7 linked regions of the Ovis aries genome follow. The protein of the gene in region 1 interacts with the protein of each later gene in a pairwise test. Links are inferred from orthologs where the notes say so. Each region holds a gene or a part of one and is shown in the gene's direction. Other genes may lie near its edges. The genes, in order: CCDC136, PDLIM5, MOS, FAM107A, PSMD9, RAB33A and LENG1.

Region 1 (4,599 bases):
GCCCTATCCCCCAGGGAGCACAAGAAACATCTTGATCTGTGCTCACCATCTCCCTGAGCACATACTGGGCTGGGAGTATGAGAGGGAGGAAGAAAGGTGAGGAGAGAAGGCAGGGTGTGGCGGGAGGGAAAGAGACAGACAGAGGCTGAGAGGCAACATTATTGTTAACAGGTAACACTGAACTCCTTGAGTGTGAGATTATATACTAAATGATAAGCAGAGTATACAGATGTGAAGTTAGGAGATTTACCTTTACTCATTCATTCTACGTGTAAGAGAATTTGTCAGATGCTAGGAGAAGGCAATGGCACCCCACTCCAGTACTCTTGCCTGGGAAATCCCATGGACACAGGAGCCTGGTGGGCTGTAGTCCATGGGGTTGCTAAGAGTCGGACACGACTGAGCAACTTCACTTTCACTCTTCACTTTCATGCATTGGAGAAGGAAATGGCAACCCACTCCAGTGTTCTTGCCTTGAGAATCCCAGGGACGGGGGAGCCTGGTGGGCTGCTGTCTATGGGGTCGCACAGTCGGACATGACTGAAGTGACTTAGCAGCCGCAGCAACAGCAGAGATATACAGAAGACCATGTTAACTCCCAGTCTTCAAGAAAATGGGCAGACAGAAAATTGAAAATCTGACCTTGACAACCCTGAGTGACTGGCAATGCCCTAGAGAGAAAGGAGGAGAGGGTGTGTATAATGGGGTGGGAGGGGGCATCAGGAAGGGCTGCCTAGGGATGACTCCCTGCTGAGTGTTGAAGGGTAAGTAGGGGATGTCCAGGTGAAGAAAGGTTCTCCCCTGAAGAATATGGAGGGCTCGTGAACCTGGGAGCCTGTGGCGGTGACAAAGACAATATATGCCAAAGACCTTGTGAGTGGATGGGTGAGAGAAAGGATTGGTGTGTGTCCCTGGCTTAGGAATCTCCCAGTGCTTTTCTGGATGTCCTGGGACGCCCCAGTTCTCAAGTGTACCCATATTTTTCCTAGCTAAGACCTTCAGAGATGTGAGAACAATTGTTTCTTCAAGACCTGGCCCCTGGTAGACGTTCCTTGAATGAATGATGAAGTTAAGTGAAATAAGCCCGCGTAAGTTTCACATCTCCCATTTTTAACTGTAAATCAGCAGTGCCCACCCTGAACAGGCTATGCGTGCATGATGAGTGGGGGTCATTCTCGCAGCCCACCGGGAGTAGGGCTCGTGGGAAGGCAAGCGGTGGAGAAAGGCGGCCTTCGGACACTAAGGACAGTGTAGGGCCACGGAGCCGCCCCTCCTAAGAGGGTCCCTGCTTCTGGCTTGGTGAGGGGCGCACGCACGGACAACAGAGGGATCAGGGCCCCGAGTTCACGTATCCTGGCCTCAGTTTCCCCGCTCCTGCCCTCACGCAGTTCTGGGGCGGGTGGCCGGGGTCCGCGCCGACTGCAGAGCTGGGGGGCGCGCCCTGCGCCATAGGGAGCCAGGGGAGTGGAAAAGCATCCGCGTGTTTGCAGGAAACAAGCCGGGAGGATCCGTCCATCCTTTTGGTTTTCCTGCCTCATCACCGAGCTAGACGGGATCCTGGCACACGGAGCAGAGGGGGTCTCCTCGCGCAGCCGACTCCTGGCTGCTCGCACTCTCCGCGCGGGTCTCCTCCCATCTCCCGCTCGCTCGGCCTCGGGGAACTCGGGAGCTGCGGCGGCCGACCGGCTTCCGGGCGGGCGGCGGCGGGGGCGGTGTCAGGTGGCCCGGCCAGGCCCCGCCCCCTCGGCCGGCCCGCCCTCCCTCCCCTGCGCACCCGGCTCCGGTACCCGGCCTCGCGGCGGCGGCGGCGGCGGCGGCGGCGGCGGCGGCGGCAGCGGCAGCGGCGGTGGCGAGAGCGGCCATGGAGGCGGGCGCCGGGGCCGGCGCGGGCGCCTCGGGCTGGAGCTGCCCGGGCCCAGGTCAGAGCGCCCCTCCTTCACCTCTCCACTGCCTCTCCTTCCTCTTCTCCATCTCTCCTCCCCCCAGACCCCCACGGCCTCTCCCCCCTCCGCTACTCCCCACCTTGACGGCCGAAGTCTTCCTCCTCCCTCCCTCCCGCCCCCCACCCGGGCCCGGTCTCCATCTTTCCCGGCTGGGTCTTCCCCACACCGGCCGCATCCTCCTTGGCATTCCCTGCCCTGAGCCTTCTCAATCTCGACTCTCCAGCCTCATACTGCTTCCAGCCCTAGGGGCTCTATAGATCCTGCACCCGCTCGCACCCCTAAAGCTTCTGAGCGCGGGGCGCGGGTGGGGTGGACGAAGTCTAGGGAGAGATGGAGGGGAGGGGAGGGGGTCCGGTCCACACGACCCCCGCCAGCCATCGCCGGCCCCCTCCCCACCTTCCCCTTAGGCGCACTACCTCACCCTTTCAGCCTCTTTACTTGCTCCCACCCTCTGCCATCCTTGTCCATCTTCCCCCTCTGTCCCCTCTGGGCTAAAGAGACACACACCCTTTCTACCTGTGCGAGGGAGAGGAGCCTGGAACAGAGGTTGCAGAGGAGGATGGGCAGGGCAGGGCGGGGTCCCCAGAGGCCCAGCCTAAGGGGCAGCTTGGGGAGAGGAGTCGCAGTGCCTGGCAGAGTGAGCCAAGTACTTCCACCGGGATAAAAACCCCCAGGGCTCCGAAGGGCTAGAAGGTGTGTCCCTTCCCCTCCCTGCCTCACCCCAGCCACCCTGGCACCCCACAATCCCTCTCTCTCCTTGCTCACAGGACCCACAGTGACCACTTTAGGCTCCTATGAGGTGTCGGAGGGTTGTGAGAGGAAGAAGGGCCAACGCTGGGGGTCTTTGGAACGGCGGGGGATGCAAGCTATGGAGGGTGAGTTTTCCTGTAAAGCTTTCTTTCCTTCTCCCTCACCCAATTTTCCTTCCTCCCTCTGACCCTCCAGAACTCTGAGCCAGGACACACACCTTCCCCCTAGTTCAGCTCAGCACCCGCTAGCCCTCCTCAGGGCTCAGGTTTTGAGGGAAGTTCAAGGTACATCCTTTTGGGGTTCTAATCACCAGCTAACCAGGTTGTGTGTCCCGAGGGAGCTGCCAGACAGAGAAAGAGGCCTCTTTGGACAGAGCTTTGAAGCAGCCTTTCAGCAGGGGGTTTGTTCTCTCTGCCTCCCGACCCAGATCCCAAGCTGTCTCTTATTTTGAAAAGCAGGGAAGTGAGCACGTGAACTGTCTTTCTGGTGCTGCCACCACTGACTTCAAATGGAAGCCTGGTGGCTTTGGTTCTCTAGGCTATCTTACTGCCTGAAAGAGGGAGCCTGGGAAGGGGGCTGCTGAAAAGGCCAACCTCCCAACACATGTGTATTCCCACAACACCCATGCGACTTGGCAGTTGTTGCCAACACCAGGAGGATGCTAGAAGGGTGCCAGTCCTGTTGCCAGGACTTCCCGTGAAGGGTCCCCAGGTCCCTGTGCACATCTAGTGTGGTCAATCTTGCCCCTTCCCCCCCCACCTCCACTGACCCCGGGGAGACAGATGATGCCAGGGGTCCCAGATGAATCTTAGGCTGTGGTTACTGGACAAAACCAGGCCAGAGACTCAGAATTTTAAAACAATTGCCATCCAGATAAGGTTTTGCTATTTAGAGAAACTGCATTGCAGTAAAGGAGGGGGTGCTTGCCAGCCAGAGACTGGGGACCAACACACCCCAGTTTCTTAACTCATTAAAATGGCAGGCTTTCTTTTACACACAAGTACAACCTATGACTTTCCCCTAAAAACTGCCTTGTGGTCAGCAGGGGAGGAAGTGAGACCCCCAGACACTCAGCAGGGAAAAGAAAAGTGGACTTGGTAGAAAATTTCAAAAAGTCTATTCAATGGAATATGTTTGGAAGGGCCCCAGTGTTTGTCCAGTAAATCCTTTAGATCATTTCATTCAGATGTTCTCTTTCTCTGCCTACTGACAGGCAACACTTTCATATAATGGAAAGGCTAGTTTCTCACAAGCCACCTGGATCGTTTGTAAACTTTGTACAAACCCCCAAACTGTAATTCTTGCCCTGTTTGGCTTAAAGACACACCCAGTGTCTGAATCCTTTCTTGACTACTTGTGCCCAGAGACAAGGATAGAAGAAGCAAGGTATCCTTGTGCAAGCCAGTCCCTGGCTGTTCAGTCCACCTGAAGGCAGTCCTTGGAGGCCCCAGAGGCAATATTGGTCCAGGAAGTGCCTGGGAGGGGGATGGATACCTCCAAACTTGACTCTCACACCTCAGGGCCCCTCAGGCATGCAGGTGCTGCCCAGAGGCTCCTTGGGGGACACCAGGTGGCACTATTATACCATCTCTGTCCTCTAAGGACAGTGAGGTGGAGGGCCCTCTAAGGACTGTGTAAGAAAGTTGGCTCTTACTCGCTGGCGGGATGTTGCGGGGGTCTCTCCTAGGGGAAGTGTTACTCCCAGCTCTCTACGAGGAGGAAGAGGAGGAGGAGGAGGAAGAAGAGATGGAAGAAGAGGATGATCCAGGGCAGAAAGGCGGCAACGCAGGCTCCCTGTCGGTTAGCAAGCACCGAGGCCTGAGCCTCACGGAGACGGAGCTGGAGGAGCTGAGGGCTCAGGTGCTGCGGCTGGTGGCAGAACTGGAGGAGACCCGGGAGCTGGCAG
Region 2 (3,802 bases), on another chromosome or scaffold:
TGAGTTATATGAACTTTATTTTCAAATGGTATTCATTTTTCCAGTCAACAGAGTTTGTGGAGGTGTTGGAAAACTCAACTCCTTCAATTCACTGTGTTTTCCTTACCTGTCCTCATTATGTATTATATATTAATTATGTATTATATATTAAAATATAGATATTGATATGTATTACATACTATGTAGTATATACATTATGTACCAATATATAGGTATTGATAATATTTTATTTTTTCTAGGATATTGATAATTCTTTATGTTTTAAAGGACATTTTAAAAGTTTTTTTTTTGGAGTTCTAGTCATTTCTTTGAGGTTGTTCTTGTATCAGTTCTTAAACAGTAATACCTGTTTCAGCTGAATTGGGAAACAGTCTCAAGAAGGTACGAGATATATTCTGTGGAAAAAACTCACTATAGATATAGTGAGTTTGTACTTGAAAACAATAAATTTCTCCAATGCATTTATTCAACAAATATTTATTTGTTGTTTTCTATGTTGTAAGCACTTTGTTTTACTTACACCAGTGAACGTAACTGTCCCTGACCTCAGGGAGCTTCTAATCTAGTGAGGGAGTCCAGATTCAAACAAATAACCACATAAATTGTATAATTAATATAATAACAAATTATGTGAAGAAAAAGTACAAGGTGGTATAAAACCATATTACACAGGCCGCATTTAGGTAATTTGGGGAATTAGGGAGACCTCCCTGAGGAGGTGACATTTAAACTGAGGCCAGAAGGTTACTTAAGAACTAGTGTGATGAAGATGTGGCGGAGAGCTGGGTATAGAAAGTGAGAGGTAATAGACTGCACAGTGGCCTTGAGGTGGGAAGAGGGTTTAAGAAGAGATGGAAGACCGCTGGACTGGAGCAAGCCAGACAGAGAGAAAGCTCTGTAAGAAAGGCTGGTGAGTAGGGAGCCTAGGATCACAGCCATCCATGGAGCAGTGCTGGCAGCATCTAAGAACCAGACAGGGTCAGATTTATGTTCTTAAGAGTTCGCTCTGGTAGCTGTGTGGAGACATTAGTCTCTGTGACAGGGGGTCAACAGACTTTCTCTGTAAGACATGAGGTAGTAAATATACTAGATTTTGTGAGTCATGGGGGTCTGTTGCAGCTGCCCAGCTCTCCATGTTTTATGGAAGTAGCCATAGACGCTATATGAGTGACTGAACCTGGCTGTGTTCTCGAAAACTTATTTATAGATGCTGACATTTGAGTTTCATATAGATTTTACGTGTTGTGAAATAGTCTTTTTTTTTAACTTTTTAAATCATTTAAAGATATGAAAGCCATTGTTAGTTCCCAGGCCGCATGAAGATAGGAGGCAGGCTGACTTTGACCTGGGAGCTGTGGTTTGCTGAGTGTGGTTTGTTACAGCACTTCTTTTCTTTCTTGTTTAACTTTTTTTACTCTGCCTCTTAAATGATGTTTACTTCTACCTTGACATTTTTCTTAAGTTATCTACACTTTTTTCCAACACTCTGTTAAAGATATGACCAGTACTAAATAAAAAATGGGAATATAACCTCTTCTATTTTTATCTTAGTGTTACATTTTCCATTTGAAACTCAATAGACATGACTGATCCATTCTACTTTTTTCCACAGGCTTTTTTAAAAATGAATAATTTTTTGTTTTTTCCTGTTTATTTTTTTTTCCCAAAGTGTTATACTTGGTGCTTTCTTCTTTCAGGCCTCACACTGAATTTTTTCATCTTCTCTTTACTTGGTAATAACTCTTAAATTTAATTCTGACATTCAAAAGAAAAAATGGTAAAGACATCAGGAAAACAAAATGCATCATATTCAAACAACACAATTGCTTGTAAACGTTTGTTTCTGATAAGATGAAATAGTTTCTTTACATCAAGGTATGACATCCATATTATTTCAGATCTGCAAATAATTATTCTGACTTGAAGGGAAATTCGTAGTTGCTTTTGTGTATTGTGGTATTCAGCCCCACAGGATGCTAGAAAGCATAAGGTTTTAGAAAGAGTACATATAGACTTGGTTCAGCATCCATCTGAGCCTTACTAGGTATATGATATGATATGATATGATATGATACTGGGCAACTTAATTAATTTCTTGGAGCTTAAGTTTCTCTGAAGCATGCAAAATACATAGTGATGGAAATTCCCACCCACCTTTCTTCCCCCTGTAAGCATGATAGTTTATCACATAAAAATTGCTATGTTAAAAAACGGCCTATATTTGTTGATTGTGAGGGTGTTTGGTGTTAGTTTTAACCTTCTACAGATAGAAAGTTTAAAAAAAAAATCTAGCGGTATTCCAAAATGGAACCAATGAGCTTTTAAGGTGGTATACATGATTAAAGTCTGTACTTTTCATTAATATTTCCTCTGCCTTGTTTATTTTACTTCTGAAAACTCAGGTTTGACAGTTCTCTGGAAGACCTACCTCAGAGTGGACCTCACCCACCTACAACTGCTCAGGTTTTACATATTGGTGGCCAAGTAGCCACAGTTTCTAAAGTAACTTCGTATTCTAGGTAGAGTTTTTTCCTCTTGTCTGTCTAAATTTTAATGCTGGTGGTGATAGGTACTAAAACTGTTTGACTATTAATACAAAGGAAAAGCTGATCATAGATTACAGAACTGACATCTCTAATATATAGACAGAGCTTGGCGCTCAGCCTTGGTGGAACACTGCTTTACACTACTTTTAAATTTTTCATTTTTTGTTTGGATTCTGAGTTCTAGTTTAGAGTCAGGAAATCTGTGCCTTTTCTCTGTTCACTGTGCTTTGGAAAGTCATCTTTCTTGAGTTTGTCATAAGTCTATTGAATTAGAGCATTCCCATCTAAAAAAGAACTGATAGAAATTTTATGTTCTAGGTGCCCAGATACATTCTAATTATATTGAGGTTAATTTTCCTAAGATTTTGACGGACTCTGCTCTACTCAATCTTTTTATACTATTATTTGTGATACAATGTGATGAAAGAAATTCATTATAGCTTCCTTTTCTTCTTATAGAAGAAGGATAATTTAGCTGATTGATTTTTTAGATGACTTTTTTGTAGACTTAAGTGTCTCATTATTTGCCATTATTTCCCTGAAATAGAAGCCATTGTCTCAAAGATGCAGAGTAATTGAAAAACTCAAAGTTGAGTCAGTTGTAACTGTATTCTTCCACTTTGTATGACACTCATATTCTTGTGCTCTGCTGCTTATCTCATTTTTCTTTTCTTTTTCTTAGACCCCATTTTTTCTTTTCTAGCCATTCACAACAGTTAAAACATATCTGCACAGTTCAATTAAATTATAGACTTACCAAAAATTATACTTAAGCAATTCTCTCTCTGTGTGTGCATATAATATAGATAGATAGATGGATAAATGACTTACCACGGTTTTCTTAATTTGTCTTCTAATGTTTTGTAAAATTATAGCCAGTGGAACTAGGAATAATGAATTATCAAATTATTCTAGAAGGGAGAAGAGGAGACAGGGAGAAGAGACTTATATCACCCCTCACAGTTTTGGGCATCGGAGCTCTTATTCGCTTGAGTTGAGTTTGGTACATAATTATATTGTGTTAGAGGTGGCCACTGTCACCAGTTTTGGAAAAGGCAGTCATAGTATAGTGAGGCTATTCATTAAGAACTTATATGCGTAGTTAAAGCAGAGAGACATAGATTTCATCCCATGCATTTTAAACTTTCTTTTTACCTAATAAAGAAGTTCTCAATTCCAGCTTGATAACCAGATTTGAGAGAAGGGCATGGCAACCCACTCCAGTATTCTTGCCTGGAGAATCACCATGGACAGGG
Region 3 (3,179 bases), on another chromosome or scaffold:
TTGTCTGAGCCACCAGGGAAGCTCCATTACTTCAGATAGGGCTCCCCAAATTTTGTTCCAAATTTTAGAAGTTTATTTTAATGATTATCCTGATTTCTTAAATAAAAAGACTGAGGCTCAAACAGGTTAAATATTATACATGATATCACATGGTAAGTCACAGAGGTAATATAGAATAGAAATCTTATTCTAGGGTTCAGAAGACTTCCAATAGCTTATGTAAATGGACTGTTTATTAACATATCTTCTTGGAACAAATATACTTCAGAAGCATAGACCTATCTTCAGAAAAATGTGTTTACACATCACCTATATGCTCTAAGTGCAAAAATAAAGTCAAGATAGAGCTTTACCATTTGACTTTTCAAAACATAGATCCTAACATCTTCCTGTGTTTTTTCATGAACAGGGTGTTATTGTTGGTTTTTTCCCCAAAGGTATGAAATGAAAACTGTCTTTTTTTAAAATAAAAATTAGAACAGAAGAACTCACGGCTGAACAGCAAGATCCTGGATTTAATCTCAACATCTGATTTTCCACAGTATATGGAGGAACAGTATATGACTGTGACTCTTTTTATTTCTTCAGATTTTTCCTCTCCTAAGATCTCTCGTATTTGTTATTATTTGACGCTCTGCTTGTAGCTCTGAATCATTTTCATTCTTTTTCCTCCTCTAACTCTGCTTCAAAACTTCTGTAACTTATTTGCTGTGAAGTCTAAAATCTCTTCTGCAAGTGAGCGTACTGGGTGCACCAGACAGCCATGGACCCCAAAGACTGCTAAGGATGCCATATGTTGCTAAGAAGTCTTGCTAATTTGCTCTATCAGCTGAATGGGGTGTCAGAGAATTTTCTTTTCCTTTATGAACTCAGAGTGTTTATGCTGTGACCTGTATCAGCAATTCTGCTTGGATCGATCACTTTCAGCTTACCATTTTTCATCCCTCCGTGAACGTTGCACCTAATTTTCCCTGTAATCGGTTCAACAACTGTCAGCTGTTCATGTTTCAACTCTTTCTGCCAATAACTGCTGGAAGTGATTTAATGCAGCTGGAGAATAAACTGACAATCATTATAGCCTGCAAAGTGTGAAAAAAATTTCATTGCACTATTGTGATCTGAGGACCGATGACGCCCAGCGGATGAGACTTGGAGTGGGGGTGGACGGGTAGGGGAGAAGCCTGCTTTATAATAATTAAAGAACTTGTGGAAGAGGGTGATTCCTGGGGCAAGTTAACTGTTTATCCGGTGAACCCTCTTCCAGGGCTTGTTTTATAAGAATTCACTGTAAGTGCCCAAGGGAAATACCTTCATCTGAATGGGGTTTCGGTGCTGCCTGCGCTCAGATGGTTTCCTCAGCTGATAAAAGTCCTCGCTAAGGAACCGCACAGATGTGGCTCCTTTGGGGAAGATGAAGGCAGAGGAGACAAACACGGGGGCGGAGCGGAGGGGCAGCAGCCAGTGATGCCTGCAGGCCGACGGGATCCCCTCTTCCAGGCCGGCTCACCTGCGCTGCAGAAGAGATGCCCTCGCCCCTCCCGCGGCGCCCTCACCTGCCCGGCGACCTCTCGCCGTCGTCGGGGGACTCGCGGCCCTGCAGCAGCCCCTGCGAGCTCTTGGGGGGCATCTTGCCGCGGGCCCCGCGCCTCCGGCGTCGGCTAGCCTGGTGCTCCATCGACTGGGAGCAGGTGCGTCTACTACGGAGGCTGGGCGCGGGGGGCTTCGGCTCAGTGTACGAGGCCACCTACCACGGTGTGCGAGTAGCCGTCAAGCAGGTGAGCGGGTGCTCCAAGAACTCGCGGGCGTCAAGGCGCAGCTTCTGGGCCGAGCTCAACGCGGCCCGGCTGCGCCATGTTAACATCGTGCGCGTGCTGGCGGCCAGCACGCGCCCGCCACCGGGTTTCGACAGCCTGGGGACCGTCATCATGGAGTTCGGGGGCAACATCACCTTGCACCAGGTCATCTACGGCCCCACCGGCTGCCCCGGGGACTCTGGCGCGCAGCTGGGCTTGGAGAGGTGTCTAAAGTACTCCCTAGACGTGGTCAGCGGCCTGCTGTTCCTCCACGGGCAAAGCATTGTGCACTTGGACCTCAAACCGGCCAACATCCTCATCAGTGAGCAGGATGTCTGCAAGATCGGGGACTTCGGCTGCTCCGTGAGGCTGGAAGACCTGCGGAGCCCGTGGACGCCTCACCACCTGGGCGGCACCTACACTCACCGAGCCCCGGAGCTCCTCAAAGGAGAGCCTGTTACACCCAAGGCCGACATCTACTCCTTCGCCATCACCCTTTGGCAGATGAGCACGCGGGAGGCGCCCTTCTCGGGGGAGCGGCAGCACGTGCTCTATGCCGTGGTGGCCTACCACCTCCGGCCCGCTCTCCGGGCACCCGTCTTCACCGACTCGGTCCCCAGGAAGACGTTGGCGGGCATCGTCCAGCGTTGCTGGGCGGCCCTTGCTCCCGAGAGGCCGAGCGCAGAACTTCTCTTGGGGGACCTCCACGCTTTGAAAGAGGAGCTGGGAGGACTCGAGACTGGATCCAAATAAGCGTCTTTGTTTCTGATCGTTTTTAACGAAGTGAAGATTTAGCGGGGGAAAAAATCATATAGGTAGGATGGATTTTTAGAAAATAAAGTCCCTTAAAAACTCCCTTTATCTCGAATGCTTTTTCTAAGACAAACCGCAGAGCGGTCGTGGTGCTCTTTGTCGTTATTTAGTCGCTAAGTCTTGTCCGACTCTTTTGCTACCTCATGGACTACAGCCGGCCAGGCTCCTCTGTCCATGGGCTTCTCCAGGCAAGAATAGGAGAGCAAGTTGCCATGCCCTCCTTCAGGCAGTAACAGGTATTCCTGAATAAACTGTAAAAAAAAAAAAAAAAAAAAAATAGTTGTCTGCAACCCCAACAAAGAGGACAGCAGCTCATTACTCTTGTTGTTTTCATTAAAATGGCTATTGTTTGTATTTGTTGTTGTTGTTGAGTCCCTAACTAGTGTCTGACTCTTTGCTGACCCCATGGACTGTAGGCCACCAGGCTCCCCTATCCATGGGATTTCCCAGGCAAGAATACTGGAGTGGGTAGTCATTTCCTCCTCCAGGGGATCTTCCTGATCTTCTGGACCCAGGGATGGAATCAGGGTCTCCTGCATTGGCAGCTAGATTCTTTACCACTGAGCCACCAGA
Region 4 (4,602 bases), on another chromosome or scaffold:
GCTAGGACTTCCAATACCATGCTGAATAGAAGTGGTGAGAGTGGGCATCCTTGTCTTGTTCCAGGTTTTAGTGGGAGGGCTTTCAGCTTTTCACTGTTGAGTATTATGCTGGGTTTGTCATCGATGGCTTTTATCATTGAGCTATGTTCCCTCTGTACCCACTTCGCTGAGAATTTTCATCATGAATGCGTGTTGAATTTGATCAAATGCTTTTTCTGCCTCTACTGAAGTGATCCGATGGTTTCTGTCCTTTGTTGATATGGGGTACCACACTGACCAGTTTGCATATGTTGACCCATCCTTGTGAACCTGGAATGGATCCAACTTAATCATAGTGTATGATCCTTTTATGAACTGTTGGATTCAGTTTGCTAATATTTTACCGAAGCAAAATTGCATTTTTAATGCTGGCATTCATGCTGGATGTATGCCCTGGGTCTAATCACTTCCCAACCCACCCAGACTCTTCACGAGAAAGTAGAGGTGGGAAGAGGGCCAAGTTTAAGTGGAGGTCAGCTTCCTCACTAGGGGATTAAGGAATGACAACACAGGCTAGAAAACACGTCCACGTTTCAAGCGAGCGGATTGTGAAACTAGGAGAATGCCTGTTATCTGTAAACACCCACACTGGCCTTTGGTAGCTACATATGCTCTTTATTTTCACACTCATACACTGACTCCTTGAGACGAGACCTTCGGGGCACAGACCCCACCAGGGACGGCGCTGCACGCCATTCACACCGAGTCCAGCTCTCTCCGCAGGAAAAGTCCTCCTTGCCGCGCACTGACGGCCTGCTTCCCGGTGTCAGCTCATCTGTGTTTCTTCTCAACCACTGCTGTTTTCCACACTTGACAGGCAGAAACCAAGGCTCAGGGGTTGCCGACCGGCTGCCCAAGGGGCTCATGCCGGGCTGAGCAGGGGCGAACACCAGGGCTGGTCTGGCCCAGAGCTGGTCAGCGTCCACTCACCCACATCCCCTGGGCGCCATCCTGTGGCTCCCCACTGAGGTTCAGGGCACTGAGGAAGCACCAAGGATGGAGTTGTTGGCCTGTACGTGGGTGACTGGAGTTGATGCAGCCTAGTTTCCCCTCCTTTGCACCAACAGCCGCTTTCCCCTGGGGAGTCGCGCCGGGCAGCAGGAAGCCTGCCCCCCCCCACCCCCACCAGGTCAGGGAGGTGCCAGAAGGCATTCTGGCTGACCCTCCATCAGAAACAAGGGAAATGCCTGTGCCTGAGCCACGCCGCTCAGAACAAAGCTTGGTGTGTCCTTGCCCCTCAATGATCTGACCAAATCGATACTTATTTGCGCCTGCCTCCCCGGCAGTGGGGCTCGGACACAGTGTTCCGCATGGAGGAAGTGGCCGAGCACCAAGTGTAATACCCGTTACTATAGTAACAGTTCCTTTCTAATGATACCAGAATAAACAGGAACGCAGAGCCGCCTCCCTCGCTGGCTCTCTTCATCCCCAGGGCTTGACGAACCGTCCTGTGGAGGCGGCCCCTCCTGGCTCACCCGGGACTCTGGTGGAGCGAGGACCAGCAGCGCTGCGCTCGGAAGTTCTCTTCCCAAGGACACGGGCTCAGCTGAGGAGTAAGACCGGCTCTCTTCTGTCCCCCGTGCTGCTGAGCTGGGGTGCGGTGCCAAGAAGGGGTGTGGCGGGGTAAGGAGGGCAGCCTCCCAGCGCCAGGGAGGCCGGCAGGGGGGCAGAGCTCTTGGAGCCCAGGTGCCACACTCTGCGAGATGACGCGGGTGCCTCTGGGCACCTGGGTTTGGGAAAGGGCTCGGAGAGGCTGTGCCGGGAGCGCTCGGATGCAGCCTCCCCCGCGCCCCGCTCTGGCTGATCTCTGTCTTCCGAATGCTCGGGTGCCTCTGAGTTCATGCGTGGCATGACCTCGCGGCAGCGGTAGTTCTCTTGAGGACCGACAGGTCAGAAGCCGGCCGAGACGGCCCCAGGCAGACAGCTCAGCTCAGGCTCCGGAGCCTTCACTTGCTGGCCGTGTGATCTGGGAAAGACCCCTCAGCCTCAGTGTCTTCATTGGCACAAAGGGGTCTCAAGAGCACCACCTCCTCAGTCCGTCGTAAGGATTTCATGAGGTGCGGCCGCTGCGCGCAGCTCGTGGCACAGGGTGAGGGCACGTCCGTGCGTTGCCCACCTGGGTTTGGCTTCAGCACTTTGCAGTGTGAGGCAAGGCTGGTACTGGGCCAGGAATCAGGGGGCTATGGGGTCGGGTGCGTCACTTTTCTGAACTGCTGCTAAACCCAGCGGTTTCCCCGCTGTGGGGCAGCCCCGGTACCTGCATCTCTGGCCAGCTTGGACGCTGAGTGGCTCTTCGCCCCACTGGTGGTAAGTCCTGCCAGGATCCCCCCGCCAGAGGCACTGGTCAAGTGGGGTGGCTGGCATTATGCCACTGGTGGGCCGACACTGTGCCTTGATCAACTGCACAGGACGCTCCACCCGCCTCGCTAAGGACCTTCCACGTCCAGCCCTGGCCTCTGCTATGGAACTGATTCGAAACCCTGTGTGCCCACCAGACCATCTCACAAACGAGGTCACGGGAGACGCAGGCAGAATGCTGAGGAAGTTTGTCTTGAGCCAGTTTGGTTGGGGGAGGCTGCGTCCTAGTGATCCAGCCGCTCTGGCGGGGGCTTCCAGGCATGGGGGCGGGGGGCTGGAAGTGTGGAAGAGGCCCCCAGATATGCCACGCTGTGGCTGCAGGTCAGGGAAATACAAATGGGCACTCTATCCACTGGGAGGAAAGAGGTACGAAGGTTCAGAAATGCGATGGCCACGCTCGTCACTTTCACTGAAAGCTTCTTTCTCCTTGGTCAGTAGTTAATTTCACAGCTTCCCTTCTCCTCTGCGCGTCCATCCCGTGAAACGCGGAACCGAGGAGATCACTGGCTGTGTTGTAAACGCGCCAGCTTGATCAGTAATGAGGAGCAAGGGCAGGGGGAGGGAGCGCATAAGAGTGAAGACTCAGACAACACCCCGGGAGGCACGGCCACCAGCTGGACTCTGCTAGCAGCCCAGCGGGGCGCAGACAGGCCGGTGGATTCTGGCTTAAGCCCAGAGCAGTGAGGGCCCGGCCTGGGCTCCCCAGTGGGAGGGTGCAGAGTTCCCCAGTTCGCAGCACCGGTTTCTCACTATCAAAGGGCTCCCACTGCCTCTACTGGGCTCTCCCGAGTGTCCAGAGAGGCAAGGGATGTAAAGCTGCCTGGCTGACCGAGGCGATGCCTTGCACCTGGAAGACACCGCAGTGGCAGAAAGAGCACTGGCTTTGCGGCCCAAAGCTTCTGACTTTGCCATTTATTTTGCGTATCTTTGGACAAGTAGCTTGGCCTCTCTGAGATTCAGTTTTCCCATTTAGAAAATGGGAATAATAAAACAGTACCACTGGCTGCCTCCTGGGGGAGACTGTGAGACCCGAATGCAGGCGAACGAGCCTTCATCAGATGTCAGGTGCTCAACACGGGTCCCCTTGGCGGTGGCGGTAAAGAGCCTGCCTGTCCATGCAGGAGACATGAGCGACGCGGGTTCGATCCCTGACTCAGGAAGATGCCCTGGAGGAGGGCATGGCAACCCACTCCACTATTCTCGCCTGGAGTACCCCGTGGACAGAGGAGCCTCGCAGGCTACAGTTGCAGAGTCTGTCGTTGGCTGCCTCTGCCCCACCTCCACCACTTCAGCCTGTCCAGTCCTCACAGCATCTTGATTGTAGAGAGAAGGGTCCAGGAAGTTAAGTTCCCATCCAAGGTCACAAAGCTGCCAAGCACACCGACTGTAACCAGACCCGCCCCGAAGAGCCAGTCCAACCAGTCAGCTGAAATCACTCAGGCCAAAGCAAAAAAAGCTTGTTTTTTTTTTTTTTAAACTCTGTGTTACAAAGTTGTCTATTAGAATCACTTTGGACGCTTTTTATGTCATATTGAACTATACTTACGTTGATTCAATTTCAGGTATGCAACAAAGTGATTTAGTTATACATATATATATATATATATACACACACACACACGTGCATTTAAAAAAATTTTTCCCAGTTAGGTTATTACAGAATATTGAACAAAGTTCACTGTGCTATTCGCTAGGTCCTAATTAATTATGTTTTGAATGTAGCAGGGTGTATACACTTATTTCAATTTATCCCTACTCCCCACCTTTACCGGCTGGCGACCATAAGTTTTCTAAGCCTGAATCTGTTTCTGTCAAGAAGTTCATTCCTATTATTTTTTTTAAAGATTCTGCATGTAAACAATATCATATGGTATGTCTTTATCTGACTGTCTTCACTTAGCGTGATAGTCTCCAGGCTGACGCATGTTGCTGGAGATGGCGTGATTCATTTTGATGGCGGAGTGATACTCCCTTGTATTTCTGTGCTACGTCTCCTGGGTCCACTCCTCCGTGAGCGGACATTTAGGTTCCTTCCATGTCTCGGCTACTGTCGGTAGTGCTGCTGTGAACATTTGGGTGCATACATCTTTCTGAATTACAGTTTCCTTCCCTTTCCCAGGAGTTGGGATTGCTCTTTTTCGTTTTTAAAACTTTTCAGTTTTTTTTTTTTTTTTTGCAGAACTTCCATACTGTTTTCCAATTTAC
Region 5 (4,463 bases), on another chromosome or scaffold:
TAGAGAACCAAGATCTAATTAGGGTTCACATATTGCATTTAATTGTTTGTCTCTTTAGTCTTTAAATATATTTATTTATTTGGCATTGCCAGGTCTTAGTTGCAGCATGTGAACTCTTAGTTACAGCTGTGGCATCTAGTTCCCTGACCAAGGATTGAACCTGGGGTCCCTGCACTGGGAGTGTGGAGTCTTAGCCACTGGACCCCCAGGAAGTCCCTTTAGTCTTTAATCTAGGTGATTGCCTAGCTTCTGTGTGGATATTTCACAATAATGACATATTTGAAGAGTTCAGCCAAGTTGTTTTGAAGAATGTCCCTCAATTTGGGTTTGTCTGTTTGTTTTTCATGACTAGATTCAGAGCAAACATGTTTGACTACTAGGTAGGTGATGGTGTGTCTTTTTCAGTGCAAAATGTCAGTGGGAACATGTTAAGAGGTTGTGTCATCTTTTGGTTAAGCTGGGTTCAAATTGGGGCTGCTTATTTTGCTAGCTGGGCAAGTGAGTCATTGAGATGATTTTTCTCACCTGTCAAATGAGAGTAATAATAATCCTGGTTTATGAGTTTGTTGAATTTTTTAAAACAATTTATTTGGCTGCGCCGAGTTTCAAATCTTTGGAGCATGCGGGATCTTTTTTTAAGTTGCCACATGTAAACTCTTGGTTGAGGCATGTGGGATCTAGTTCCTTGACCAGGGATTGAACCCTGGCCCCCTGCATTGGAAGCCCACAGTCTTAGCCACTGGACCACCAGGGGAGTCCCAAATTTGTTGAATTAATACACATAGGGCCCTTAGAACAGTGCAATGCGTTGTATTTGATAAATTATTAGTATTGATATTATTGTTGTCATCAATACTATTTTTACTGATATTTATAGAGACCTTAATATGAGACACACTGAGTCCAGTGCCCACTTCTTTGCCCTTCCAGCACCTAGGACAGTGTATGACACAAAGGAGGCATTCAATAAATACTTGTTTGCATTTTGCAAACAGGTCAACACTATGTCATATGAATATCATATGTCATATGAATGTCAACACTATGAGATAGATTGCTATCAATAGCCAACCAACTCACGGATAAGGAAATGGAGGCTCAGTGAAGTGATTTATCTAGGCCACTACTGGCAGTAAGAGGCAAGAGCTGGGATTTCAACCCAAGCTTATAGGCTTTGTAAAACCAGGAATCTGAGTATTATGTAAACCCTCAAGGACTGTGTAGATGCAGAGCTGAAATGGAGCGCCACGCACAGTGCGCTGCCCCATGCATACAGGAGGCGCTCAATACATAGCTGAATGAATGAGAAAAGAAAGCGAGTCAACTAGAGAGAGTTCATCATGCCCTGGTCTGGGCCAGCGCTTGGGTGGGACTGGGAATCCATCCGTCCTCATACCTCCCGCCAAGAGTTACCACAGGACCACTTGTTCCAGCAGGGTGTGGTTTCTGGTGACCACGCCCCACAGACAAAACCACACCTTTTACTTTTCCGGGCTCCCGCGAACAGCCGAGGTGTTTTGGCCCGCGCGCGGAGCCGTAGCTACAGTTTCCTCGGGCGTCCGCGGCCGGGAAACCGGCAGTTCTAGGTCCCGGGTAGACGTGCACAATGTCGGAGAAGGCAGGGAGTCAGAGTGGGGGCTCCTCGGAGGCCAGTGGTGTAACTGTCAGCGACATTCAGGAACTGATACGGCGCAAGGAGGAGATCGAGGCCCAGATCAAAGCCAATTATGAAGTGCTGGAGAGCGTGAGTGTGGGAACTGGGCTCCCGGGCGGGCTGGGAGGCCCCGCAACGCATTCCTGACGCGGCCCCAGGCCGGGCAATGAGGCAAGTAACGTGAATAACTAGGAAGGATTCGAATCGATGTTCTAGCAAGCATTTATGGAGCCCTCACTGGGAGCTGTGTTAAACGCTTCACATTGGTTAACGCATTTAATCCTCCCAATAATCTTTTGAGGTGAGTTCTATTATTTCACCCATTTTAGGGATGGAGAAAGAGACATTACTTAAACCTGCCTGAAGTCGCAGTTCAGTTCAGTCGCTCAGTCGTGTCCGCCTCTTTCAGGGCTAATAAATTTGCAGAGGCAGGGTGATAATCATCTCTGGCATCGGTCGTACAGTTACCAGATGTCCTGTAACCACTTTACCTTAGAGCTTCTTAAACTTTAATGTGTACGCGAATCACCTGGCGATCTTATTAAAATTCAGATTCTGATGATGCACGGGTGTGTGGGAACAGCTACTGCATTTCTGCAAATTCCCAGCGATGCTGATGCCACTGGTGTAAGAACATAACAGGAAAGGTTTATTATCCTTACGGTATAAGGAGGAAACTGGGGCCAAGAGTGGGGCAAACCCTTGCCTAGGGTCCTGTACGTCGGAAGTGGCTGTGACGGGGTTAGTTCTCAGGCCTCTCTGGCTCCAAAACGGATACAGTTTTTCTTAAGCCACCTAGCGTAAAACCACAAATCAATTTGCCGAGGAAGAGTAAATGAATTACATTCTATACAGGGTGGATGAAGTGCAATGTAGGTGATGCTTATAAGATGAAGTATCATGTGGAGGCCAGGGTACCCTTTTACTGGGTGCTGACTGTGTGCCTGAATTGAGCTGGTTTATGTGTATGCTATATCCTGGAATCCTCTTAACTGCTCTATGAAGTTGGTATGTTACTCTGGGACTCAGAAAGGGGAAGTCACAAGATGAGATTTAGATCTTATGCCTAGGGAATCCAGAATCTGTGCTTTCAAGTGGTTTCTCACACCTGAGTTATTTTTCTACTGCAGACAGGATGCTGTGTCTGTATACCTCCTGTACTGTTACTCCCTTGTTATTTTCCTTTAAGTTAACCCATATTTTTTTACTTAATCTTATTTTTAAAGGAAATTTTGTAACTTCACAGCATATGAAAACATAAGAATCTCTTTCCTTAAATATGAACTAATGAAAGTGATCCCCCCCCAAAGGTGATCTATCCATGTATCTGTCACCTGATGAATGGATAATGAAATGTGGTCTGTCCATACAATGGGATATTACTTAAATAAAAAACAGTGAAGTGCTACATATGCTACAAAAGATCATGAACTTTGAAAGCTAAGTGAAAGAAATTCATCACAAAAGACCACACATTTTATGATTCCATTTATATGAAAGATCTAGAATAGGCAAATTCATGGACAGAAGGTAGATTCGTGGTTGCCAGGGGCTGAGGGGAGGGGGAGATGGAAGTGGCTGCTAGTGGGTCAGAGTTTCTTTTTGGATGGTGGTGAAAGTGTTTTTAAATTGATTGTGGTGATGATTTCATAATTCTATGAATATTCTAAAAACCACTGAATGGTACATTTATTTATTTGGCTGCACCACGCAGCATGATCTTAGTTACTTGACCAATGATGGAAACTGTGCTCCCTGCAGTGGAAGCACAGAATTCTTAACTACAATGGCACCCCACTCCAGTACTCTTGCCTGGAAAATCTCATGGACAGAGGAGCCTGGTAGGCTGCAGTCCATGGGGTCGCTAAGAGTCTGACACGACCGAGTGACTTCACTTTCACTTTTCACTTTCATGCATTGGAGAAGGAAATGGCAACCCACTCCAGTGTTCTTGCTTGGAGAATCCCAGGGACGGGGGAGCCTGATGGGCTGCTGTCTGTAGGGTCGCACAGAGTCGGACACAACTGAAGCGATTTAGCAGCAGCAGCAGACTGCCAGGGACATTCAGAATTATACACTTTAAATGGGTGGATTGCATAGTGTATGAATTATATCTGAATAAAGCTGTTTTTAAAAATGGAGAGGCCCAGATATAACAAGTGATCTGGAGATAATATGGAGACCAGCACGACTTTTTCTTTGACTACTGGAGGATTGATGATATTTGGAAAGGGAATAAGTATTTTAGATTCAGGGTTATTAAATGCCTTGTATATGAGTTGCCAGTGGCCCAGGTCCCAACGTTGGAAACCAGTCTCTGATGCAGTATTGCCTTACTGCAATCAGGAAGGCCAGTCAACTCTTAATCATTGTGAGCATACAGGAGGCAGATACAGATATTAGCCCCTGGCACATTTATACCGTATCTATAGAGAGTCCTGGGTTAAGGGAGTATACGAGACCCCCTTCCCCATGAACAGAAAACAGTAAGTGTAACCCACAGGCTTTCAGAAGGAAAGGGAGAGAAGTGAATGGAATCCCTCCCCTTGGAACCTGTGTATGCTCAGCAGTTAGTCTCTGTGCAGATCATTACAGCCCTCATTTATTACTTTCTGTGTGTATTAGTTTCCTGGGGTCACCGTAACAAATGATCACAAACTTGGTGGCTTAAAACAGCAGAAGTTTATCCTCTCTCAGTTGTGGAGACCAGCAGTGTGAAATCAAGGAGTTGGTAGGTTTGATTCCTTCTGGAGCTCTGAGGGAGAAGCCATTCCCTGCCTCTCTCCTAAATTCTGGTGGCTCCTGGCCA
Region 6 (4,365 bases), on another chromosome or scaffold:
ATGGATTTAGTCCTGTTGTCTCTTCTGCAGCTCAACCTCACACCCAAATAAGATGATAACTCACGTGTGCTGCTGGAATCCCTGACCTTGATGGCATTAGCAAATAACTCGAAAGTCGGTGCTCTTGGTATGTGTCATTAATACCTCAGCATATGAAATCTTTAGGAGGAGGGATAAAGTCTTAAAAGGAAATGTAAATGGGCACATTTTATTGTATGTAAGTTGTACCTCAGTAGAGTTGATTTCAAACAAATTCTGAACCTGCAAATCACTTTTGGCAGAAGGAATTGGTCTTGACCGAGATGTGTAGTGCTTATTAAGCCTTGGGAAGCTGTCCCCTAATACCGTAAGAAAAGTTCTGTTCATTTATCATCTTCCAAGCATAATCTAGGCTTCTGGCAAATTAGACCCAACCACTTTGTTCTACATTCAGTTGCAGAGGGGTGAACGCTCCTAGGGGTTTCCACTTCCTTTTGAAACTCCACCATTCTGCAAGGATTTGTGATTGTATGGAGAGCCCAGAAGTGCAAGACACTGTGAGGTTTACGCCATGTCTCAGGATCCCTCCACCTGGACCTGTCACGGTTAGCCCCGGAAACAAAGTCCCCTTTTGCTGAAGCTGCCAGCACTAGCTTCCCCTTCTCTTAGCCCACACACCGGCCCTCTGCCGCGGCGGGCCTTCCCCATTGGCCAGCCAAACACAACCGACTGCAGCAGCCAATGGGAGCCACTCTCCTGAACATTCAGAGGATGGGTGCTCGTGGTGTGATGAGGGGCGGTTGGCGCCTGGCACGCGCCCCCCTACATCTGGCAAGTCTGTGACAGAAACAGTAACTCGCCCTACACACGCACACCCGTGCCCCTGCCTTCCTCCTCTCAGCTGCGCGGGCCCCACAACCCATGGTGTGTCTTGGCAGCGCCCTCCCCGGCTCCCTGGGGCGCGCGAGCGCACCTGCTTTCTCAATAAGACAGAGCATCCCTTTATCTTAAGGCTTGGGAGGGGGCCGCGGAGGCGGGGCGCAGCTGCCCGCCGCAGAAGAGGTGAAAGAGGTGTCTGCGCCCCACATCCCACTCCCGCCGAGTAGTGTCGCTCCAGGGCCAAAGTGCTCTAGAGACGCCCGAAGGTGCAGCTTTCTTTGTCCTCCCCAGTTGTGCTCCCAGCCCGCTGACCCCGAGCGCTCTGAGAAAGTGGGAGTGGGGAGCCCGAAAGCTATAAAATAAATGGGTGCAAGGAAAAAGGAAGACCATCCCGAGCTGGCGTGTGCGGATCTCCCCACCCACCCTATCCTCCTTAGGCTTCTTCCCTCCGGTGTGTCCCTGGGGTCCCGGCAGGGGAGGGTTTATGCAAAGGCGCGGTGGCGGCAGAGGCGGCCTGGGGAGCGCCGTAGGATCCCAAGCCTGAGGGCACAGGCCCAAGGAGAAGGCTTGCCGGCTCTCCTCCATCTCTCCTCCCCTCCCTGGCTTTTGTGTCGCTGCCTCTGAGCTGCTAGGAGGGTGCGCTGGAGGAGGGGGGCTGGGGTGAGAAGCACCCCCTTCACGCGCGCGCGCGCGCACACACGTTGCCGGCGCACGCATACACGCGCGGGTACACACTCACAGACACGTACGCACACACATACACACGCACAAAGCTCGCTCGCCTCGAGCGCACTAACGTGGCCGTTTTCTTTGTGTGGAGCCCTCGAGGGGGGTTGGGGCCCCGGTCTGGTCCGGGGGAGATGGCGCAGCCCATCCTGGGCCATGGGAATCTGCAGCCCGCCTCGGCCGCTGGCCTGGCCTCCCTGGAGCTGGACTCGTCGCTGGACCAGTACGTGCAGATTCGCATCTTCAAAATCATCGTGATCGGGGACTCCAACGTGGGCAAAACCTGCCTGACCTTCCGCTTCTGCGGGGGTACCTTCCCGGACAAGACTGAAGCCACCATCGGCGTTGACTTCAGGGAGAAGACGGTGGAAATCGAGGGCGAGAAGATCAAGGTGATTCAGACGGTCAGGTCCAGAAAGGGAGGGATCTGGGAGGGGGTCTTGCCAGAGGTATCTCTCATGTGGTTGTAAATGTCCAGCGTGTGGCTGTGTCGCCGCTTGCTGAGCCCAAGACCCTCCGCAAGTCCTCATCCCCTTTCGCCTCTCTCAGTGGCCCAATTCCCACCTCAACCCCCCCACTTTTTTTTTTTGAGGGCTGGAGGGAGTGGTTGCATTCATGCCCTTTGCCCTTGCCTGACAGCTCCTGCCAGGAAAAGCCGGTTCAAACCCATCCTCGACCCTGAGCCGGGAGCAGCGGCACCTGTGGGCAGAGGGAGGTATGAGGGATCTCCGTCCTGGTCTGTGGAATGGATCCCAAAGCACTTCACATATCTTGAGGTCTCTTCTACCTCGTGAGTGCCAATAGGTTGCACAAACCTGCTTTGGCTAAGCCCTCAGGCCTTGGCAGTGGGCAGGCGGGGTGGTGGGGGGAGGATGGAAATCCATAGAGAATGAAAAGTGCTGTATTTTAAATTAAAATGTATAGTTGAGATTAGGGCTGGTTTGGAATAGGAGTGGTGTGCAGTGGTTCTGGCACAAAGCCATTAGCCCCTTTAAAGAAATTGACATAGGGTTACCTGCCGGCACTTCATAACAGATAAAACTAGTTCTTTTGGAAGAGCACCCCTCAAATGATAGCTTCTTTATTTGTCTGGTGTACCTAATGCCTGTTACTCATTCTGTTGGTATTGTCTTCAGCGGGCCTTTGTAAAGATGCAGAGCAACTTGTTTGAGGCCTAAGGAAAGTGTCTTGGTGCCCCCATCTCATTAGTTTGTCAGTAAGTACAGATATTCTTGTCTGACCATTTGTGCTCACTTTCAGATCAGAAAAGGCAGAAACTCAAGAGGACAGGAATATTTCAATGTGCAGAAGATGGGGGGAGGAAGGACCTGGCAAGGGCAGCTTCATGTGCTGGGGGAGCAGAGGGGGCAGGGTTATGGGCAGCAAAGACACCTCAAAAGGCACTGGGCACTAAAGACCAACTCCTCTAGAGCCACAGCTGGCCTTTTCTCAAGCCTGTGGTCAGACACTGTCAGGTGAAGTTAACCCTCCCTTTCCATTGGGCAAACAGCCCAAATGACCACAGGACCTCTCTTCTGAGTGATGTAGAGAGAAGGGCTGAGTAACTGGGGAGGGTGATGAAATGCTCTAAACTGTACAAGATTCCTGACTCCTTCGTTATTAAAATGAACAGGTTTTAAAATGGCTTCAGAGACTGGTCCAAGGCACTTGATGTCAGGAAGATGGGGAGCTCAGTACCGATACGGGAGTGCTCTTGAGAACAACTGACCCCAGGATCAGGAACATAGGGTACTGTTTGGAAATAGTGATCTTTTTTGCCCCTCTCATTTTGCCAGGCGGTGGTGGGGGCGGGGGGCGGGGGGGCATTGCTACATTTCCTTTTAAATGTCAAAGTAGGTATCTGTCTCCATCCTTTCCTAGGGCTCTTATTTCAATGTCTGTTTGGCTAGGACTTCTTTAATGTAAGGTTGTAAGACTGGAATTTCTAAAACATGCCTTTTAAAATCCAAAATAGAAATATACTTATGAATGTGTTCTTAAACCCTCAAAACCTTTCGAATTTAATGCTATCGCTTGTTTAACATCATGTCACATTGAGCCAAAGAGTCGTTTACATTTAAGAGAGGGGGAAAGAAGTCCACTTGAAATTTAGATGAAAGAAAAAGGAAATGTTTGGGAGTCTAGGAAAGGAGAAGAGGGGGAGAGGAGAGGAGGAAGCCAGAAAGTGGAAGGTGAAAACGAGTGGAAGAGGGTCACTGCCCAATGGCCTTGGGGAAAATTTTGCAAAGATTCCTTCCCTTCTAACATCCAGTACTTAGTCAAACTGGATTTTACAGTGTCCACCAAAGATTCTGGACCTCTTCCCAGAGGGCAGAGCCTGTGACAGTGTGACTCACAAGAGATGGAGCCCAGTACAGCACCACGTGCACATAAGTGCTTAATACAGGCTTTTTTGGGAAGATGATATTTTCAAGAGGACGAAATCTTGTGACACTGCTCATGGGCGAGCCCTCTGAGTACAGATTCTGAAGGGGCTCAGGGTAGGGTGTGGGAGCAGCGGGATGGGGGCCCTGCCTCCAGCAAGGCTGCTGCAAGCCCAGAGCCCAAGCTGGCAGGTGAGACCGGCGTGTCTTTGAGGAGATGGCAGAGCACAGCAGCTAGCACAGGCACCCCAGGGGAGGCAGTTTTGCCCCATACTCTGGCTGGCCTGAAATGTCTCAAGGAACGAGTACCAAAACCCATACTAGGAGGTGACTGTCAAAGGCTTCTCTTTTGGGGAGAGAGAGAAAAGTCCCCAAACTGAGGCAGCCCTAGACCACA
Region 7 (4,558 bases), on another chromosome or scaffold:
CCAATTGTTAGGTATGAGGGAAGTGGGGGACCGACCCGGACTCTTGTCTGATGGTGGAAAAGAACTGGGATTCCTGGCTCCTGATTGAGGAGAGGGGGCCAGGGATTAGGGCTCCTGGATGGTGAAGAAGGAGCGTCTGGGGCTCAGATTCCTGTGTCTCATATTCCCTTCATCCCCTCCTGCCAGATCACCCTCTTCTCCACCTGCTCCCCGGCCTCCCGCACCTTTCGAGCCTCCACTGTGAATTTCTTTTTCCCCTTGGTCCTTCTCCTGGGTCTGGCCATCTCCGCGGTTCCTGTGCTTTATAGCATCTTCCTGTAAGTGTGGGAGGTACCGGCCTCTCCCACCCTCCACCCTCCTGTCCAGGGTTCTGACTTTGGGCCATCCTTGACCTCTGCCTATCTCTGATTCCAGGATCCCACCTTCCAAGCTGTGTGGTCCATTCCGGGGTCAGTCGTCCATCTGGGTGGCGATCCCCGAGTCTATCTGCAAACTGCCTCAGATGGCCCAGAATTTTCTCTTCTTCCTGGGTACCCAGGCTTTTGCTGTGCCCCTTCTGCTGATCTCCAGGTGAGGGCGCTAGACTCCTGGGTCTGATTCTGAATGTCTGACCTGGGGTCCCGCTGCCTGCTTCCGAGAGAGAAGGGGGTTGGGGCCCAAACTCTTGGGTCTTCGGGAAGGAGGGGGCTGGGATGCTTCGACTCCTTGAGTCTGAAGGAGGAGGTCCAGACCCCTGCTTTCTAAAAAGCCCTACGTGGAAGATATTCTGAGAACGTTTGCGGAGTGGCTTCCACTTTATCTCCGCTAGCATCCTGATGGCGTATACAGTGGCCCTGGCTAACTCATATGGACGCCTCATCTCTGAACTCAAACGCCAGATACAGACGGTGAGCCAGGCCTGGCCCCTGGGAAGGGGTCCTGGAGAGTATGAAAAAGAACACAGGGGAGAGATGTGTCTCACCTCCCCTCTACCTTTCCCTCAGGAGGCGCAGAATAAAGTCTTCCTGGCACAGCGTGCTGTGGCGCTGAGCTCGGCCGACAGAACTCTTTGACCTCTCCAGCCTGGCTTGGGGTGACGTCCCACTTCCAGCCCCAGACCTGCTCCCAGATCCTTTTTGAGCTTCGTCAACATCATTTGGAAAATGAGTGAACTGGGGAAGACCCCGTGCTTTTCCAGCCCTGGGATTCCCTGCTGAGGCCCCGACCCTCCAGTGAACCTCTTTCTAGTACTGTATCAATGAATCTAGTACTGTGTCAATAAACACAGCGGAGGCCGCTGAGTGCTTTTTAATCTCCGGTCCAGAAGCTGGGGCAAGCCTTCACAGGACATAAACCAATCAAATGTGTGGCTCTGAGAGCGTGGCGGACTCTTCCGCGAGAGAGACCGCGCCAGCCAATCAGCGGCTGCGTTCAGGAGCCTCGGGGCGGGGACACGTGATTGAATCAGAGTCTTGGGGAGCGGCGGTCGCTAGGCGACGCCACGCGCGATTCTCGGAGACGGGGGACGTGGGCCCCGCAGCCAGTCACCTCTCGCTACAGCCCTGGGGGGTCGTGTCAGGCAGCGCAGAGCCAATCCGTGGCCGAGGAAGGAGCAACGGGGCGGGGCCTGCCTCTCGCCAATTGGAAGTGCCAGGAGGTGGGCCTGTCGGTCCGCGGACGGCTGAGGCGCCATGAATATTTTACCCAAGAAGAGCTGGCACGTCCGGAACAAGGACAATGTCGCCCGCGTGCGGCGTGACGAGGCCCGAGCCCGTGAGGAGGAGAAAGAGCGTGAGCGGAGGGCGCTGCTCGCTCAGCAGGAGGTGAGCCCCCGGCCCGGGCGGACGCGGCGCCGCGGCTCAGCGCGCAGGCGCCGGGGAGCGGGGCGGCGCCGGGGAGCGGGGCGGCGCCGGGGAGCGGGGCGGCGCCGGGGAGCGGGGCGGCGCCGGGGAGCGGGGCGGCGCCGGGGAGCGGGGCGGCGCCGGGGAGCGGGCCACCCTGGCGGACCTGGGGCCCGGCTCCCGGGCGGGCTGGGCCTGCGGGCCGTGCCGACGTTCCCCTCGACCTCTCCTTGGTCCTCCTGGAGGGCCGGAGTAGGGGGTCGTGAGTAATCGGAGCCCTGGGCAGTTCACGGAAGCTCGGGCCGCTTGTTACTTTAGCTGTACAAACACCCTGTGCAGTGAGCTCTTGCTGTCCCCTGGCGGCTCAGACAGTAAAGAGTCTGCCTACAGTGCGGGAGACCCGGGTTCGACCCCAGGGTCGGGAAGATCCCCTGGAGAAGGAAATGGCGATCCGCTCCAGTATTCTTGCCTGGAGAATCCCCTGGATGAAGGAGCCTGGTGGGCTACATACCATGGGGTCTCAAGGAGTCGGAAACGACTGAGCGACTTCAGTTTCGCTTTCCCCTGTTCATCCCGTGCAAAGCGCTTGATTTGCAGTCTCTCGAGCCCTGTTCGTTCTTAGCGGGGCGGTTATCTCCCTTCGGCGGAGAAGTGAGATGGCTTCAGAGGAGCCACAGCGAAGCGACAGTGTCTCAAGCCAGTCCCGCTGCGCCAGGCGTGCCTTTTGCCTGCACCGCTGCGCACAAACGTTAGAGAGTCTCTCTAACTCCTCACCTGTTTGGTTTACACCTAGCTTCCAGTCCTTTGACTAATCCGATCGTCAGCACTGGCTGGGAGGTAGTCAGGGTTTTTAAAGCTCACCTTTATCGGACTTCCCTAGTGGCCCAGTGGCGTCCAATGCAGGGGCCCCAGATTCAGTCCTTGATCAGAGAACTAGATCGCACATGCTATAAAACTAGATCTGATGCAGCCAAAGCAATATTTTTTAAGTTCACGGTTATCAATAGAAATTGGAAATCAAATGGGCATAATGACTCAGCGCCCTTCCTGGAATTCAGATCACCTGTCCTAATAGATGTTTTGGCTGCCTTTATAGCTGTTTTCATTGTGTCAGAAATGAAACCCCCTCGTTTACTGTTTGGAAGATGGCTTACAAACCATGCCTTGCCTCACTGCTCCACCCTCTCCCCAGGAATAGTCAGGTGCCTCTTCTGGGTTCCCAGTGCCCCTGCTCCCTTCCTTCGAGCCCTTACCACTGCAGTGGTCAGCACTAGGCTCAAGAGTCCCTTGGGCTACAGCTAGGTTCTGAATGTTCTGCCTGTAACTTTTTTTCCCTCCAGGCCCGCACAGAATTCCTACGGAAGAAAGCCAGGCATCAGAACTCACTTCCTGCACTGGAAGCAGAAACGGGAGCCCCATGCAGTTCTGGCCCTGTGGATCTGTTTCGGGAGCTGCTGGAAGAAGGCAAGGGGGCGACGAGAGGCAATAAAGAGTACGAGGAAGAGAAGCGACAGGAGAAAGTAAGGTGGCCTTACCCTCTTCCTCGGGTCACGGGTGGAGCCAGGGGTGGGGGTGTACCTTGCCCTCAGGTGTGATTACGGGAATATTTAGGGAGATGGTGGGGATTAAACAAGCTAGAGAACTCAGAATAGTATTAGAACATAGCATGTTAAGAGGTGTTGATTATTGCCGGGTGCTAGGTAGACCCCCTCAGGTCTCTAACCTGATGTGCAAACCTTGAAGATGTTGGGAAGTGTTAAGCTTCTTAAAATGTAAATCAGACGCTGTCCCTCACTTGCCCTCGGGGTTTCCTATCAGACTGCCTCCCCGCCCCTCCCCCCTCAGTCACTGCTTTACCTGGCTGGCTTCACAGTTTCTTTTCTATCTCCTCAAAGATGCTGCCTTTGAACCCTAACATAAGCAGTCCCCTCCTTCCTATGCTGTTTGTTGCTGAAGCTGTCCTGGTGCCCCAGAGCAGGGGCACCCCGGGGACTCATCTCTGAAGTCCCAGCAGCTGGCAGAGTCGGCTCCTGACGGGCTCTGCTGGCTGAATGTCTGGTTCTGCCTCTGCGGGAACCCTGGCTGCCTGAGAGGGAACATGCTTCCTGTTCTCACTTTCACATCTTGTCTCCCTCAGGAGAGGCAAGAGAAAGCCCTGGGCATCCTAACATACCTGGGACAGAGTGCAGCGGAAGCCCAGACTCAGCCCCCATGGTACCAGCTGCCCCCTAGGCCGGGCGGCCCCGCCTCTGGTCCTGGGCCCGACGAGAGGATCAAGAGCCGCCTGGACCCGCTGCGGGAGATGCAGAAGCACTTGGGGAAGAAGAGAAAGCACAGTGGAGACAGTGGTGGTCACAGCACAAAGGAAAAGAAGGCGCCTGAGAAACAGCGACCCAAAGAGTAAGGAGCCTCTTTGGCCAAGTGGGCACCACGGGCGCTCTGGCTGAGGCAGGGGCTCTGGGGTCTGCAAGGTCAGGCCCATTTTCGTAACACCGTTGAACGTTTTCAGCCTTGTTCCGGGGTCTGCAGAGACTACATGGTATTTATTACAAGGCCACTGCCCTGGTGGCTGGTGGGCCATCTGCTTGCTCTTGTTCACGTTGTATACATTAGATTCTGGACAGCTCTGAGGTTGTTTCTGAGACCAGAGTTTGAGGAGCAGAGGTTCGAGTCAACAGGCGTTCTTGTGTTCCTAGGATGCCAGACCGCCGAGTGCAGGCTGGCACCCTGGCCAGTCT

The links.
Region 2: the proteins of CCDC136 (region 1) and PDLIM5 interact in binary tests that used the Homo sapiens proteins (3 or more experiments, as listed by UniProt). The two-hybrid records come from large-scale screens. The link is inferred for Ovis aries from reciprocal best matches to the Homo sapiens genes CCDC136 and PDLIM5.
Region 3: the proteins of CCDC136 (region 1) and MOS interact in binary tests that used the Homo sapiens proteins (3 or more experiments, as listed by UniProt). The two-hybrid records come from large-scale screens. The link is inferred for Ovis aries from reciprocal best matches to the Homo sapiens genes CCDC136 and MOS.
Region 4: the proteins of CCDC136 (region 1) and FAM107A interact in binary tests that used the Homo sapiens proteins (3 or more experiments, as listed by UniProt). The two-hybrid records come from large-scale screens. The link is inferred for Ovis aries from reciprocal best matches to the Homo sapiens genes CCDC136 and FAM107A.
Region 5: the proteins of CCDC136 (region 1) and PSMD9 interact in binary tests that used the Homo sapiens proteins (3 or more experiments, as listed by UniProt). The two-hybrid records come from large-scale screens. The link is inferred for Ovis aries from reciprocal best matches to the Homo sapiens genes CCDC136 and PSMD9.
Region 6: the proteins of CCDC136 (region 1) and RAB33A interact in binary tests that used the Homo sapiens proteins (3 or more experiments, as listed by UniProt). The two-hybrid records come from large-scale screens. The link is inferred for Ovis aries from reciprocal best matches to the Homo sapiens genes CCDC136 and RAB33A.
Region 7: the proteins of CCDC136 (region 1) and LENG1 interact in binary tests that used the Homo sapiens proteins (3 or more experiments, as listed by UniProt). The two-hybrid records come from large-scale screens. The link is inferred for Ovis aries from reciprocal best matches to the Homo sapiens genes CCDC136 and LENG1.

The regions. Positions count from the first base shown.
Region 1 is NC_056057.1:94,458,986-94,463,584, forward strand, and holds the start of CCDC136 (coiled-coil domain-containing protein 136), read left to right. Parts: upstream 1-1,772; 5' UTR 1,773-1,861; coding exon 1,862-1,919; intron 1,920-2,710; coding exon 2,711-2,818; intron 2,819-4,380; coding exon 4,381-4,599. UniProt on the Homo sapiens protein: May play a role in acrosome formation in spermatogenesis and in fertilization.
Region 2 is NC_056059.1:30,649,877-30,653,678, reverse strand, and holds part of PDLIM5 (PDZ and LIM domain protein 5), read left to right. Parts: intron 1-2,402; coding exon 2,403-2,519; intron 2,520-3,802. UniProt on the Homo sapiens protein: May play an important role in the heart development by scaffolding PKC to the Z-disk region. May play a role in the regulation of cardiomyocyte expansion. Isoforms lacking the LIM domains may negatively modulate the scaffolding activity of isoform 1.
Region 3 is NC_056062.1:36,287,787-36,290,965, reverse strand, and holds MOS (proto-oncogene serine/threonine-protein kinase mos), read left to right. Parts: upstream 1-1,456; 5' UTR 1,457-1,523; coding exon 1,524-2,546; 3' UTR 2,547-2,648; downstream 2,649-3,179.
Region 4 is NC_056072.1:42,903,933-42,908,534, forward strand, and holds the start of FAM107A (actin-associated protein FAM107A), read left to right. Parts: upstream 1-1,517; 5' UTR 1,518-1,634; exon of another isoform or gene 1,635-4,602. UniProt on the Homo sapiens protein: Stress-inducible actin-binding protein that plays a role in synaptic and cognitive functions by modulating actin filamentous (F-actin) dynamics. Mediates polymerization of globular actin to F-actin. Also binds to, stabilizes and bundles F-actin.
Region 5 is NC_056070.1:53,464,497-53,468,959, reverse strand, and holds the start of PSMD9 (26S proteasome non-ATPase regulatory subunit 9), read left to right. Parts: upstream 1-1,578; 5' UTR 1,579-1,606; coding exon 1,607-1,744; intron 1,745-4,463. UniProt on the Homo sapiens protein: Acts as a chaperone during the assembly of the 26S proteasome, specifically of the base subcomplex of the PA700/19S regulatory complex (RC).
Region 6 is NC_056080.1:114,027,150-114,031,514, forward strand, and holds the start of RAB33A (ras-related protein Rab-33A), read left to right. Parts: upstream 1-1,550; 5' UTR 1,551-1,718; coding exon 1,719-1,976; intron 1,977-4,365.
Region 7 is NC_056067.1:63,980,444-63,985,001, forward strand, and holds the start of LENG1 (leukocyte receptor cluster member 1), read left to right. Parts: upstream 1-1,644; 5' UTR 1,645-1,670; coding exon 1,671-1,802; intron 1,803-3,160; coding exon 3,161-3,340; intron 3,341-3,957; coding exon 3,958-4,220; intron 4,221-4,558. Other genes in the region: TMC4 (transmembrane channel-like protein 4), read left to right, coding at 187-317, 415-570, 809-887, 984-1,052.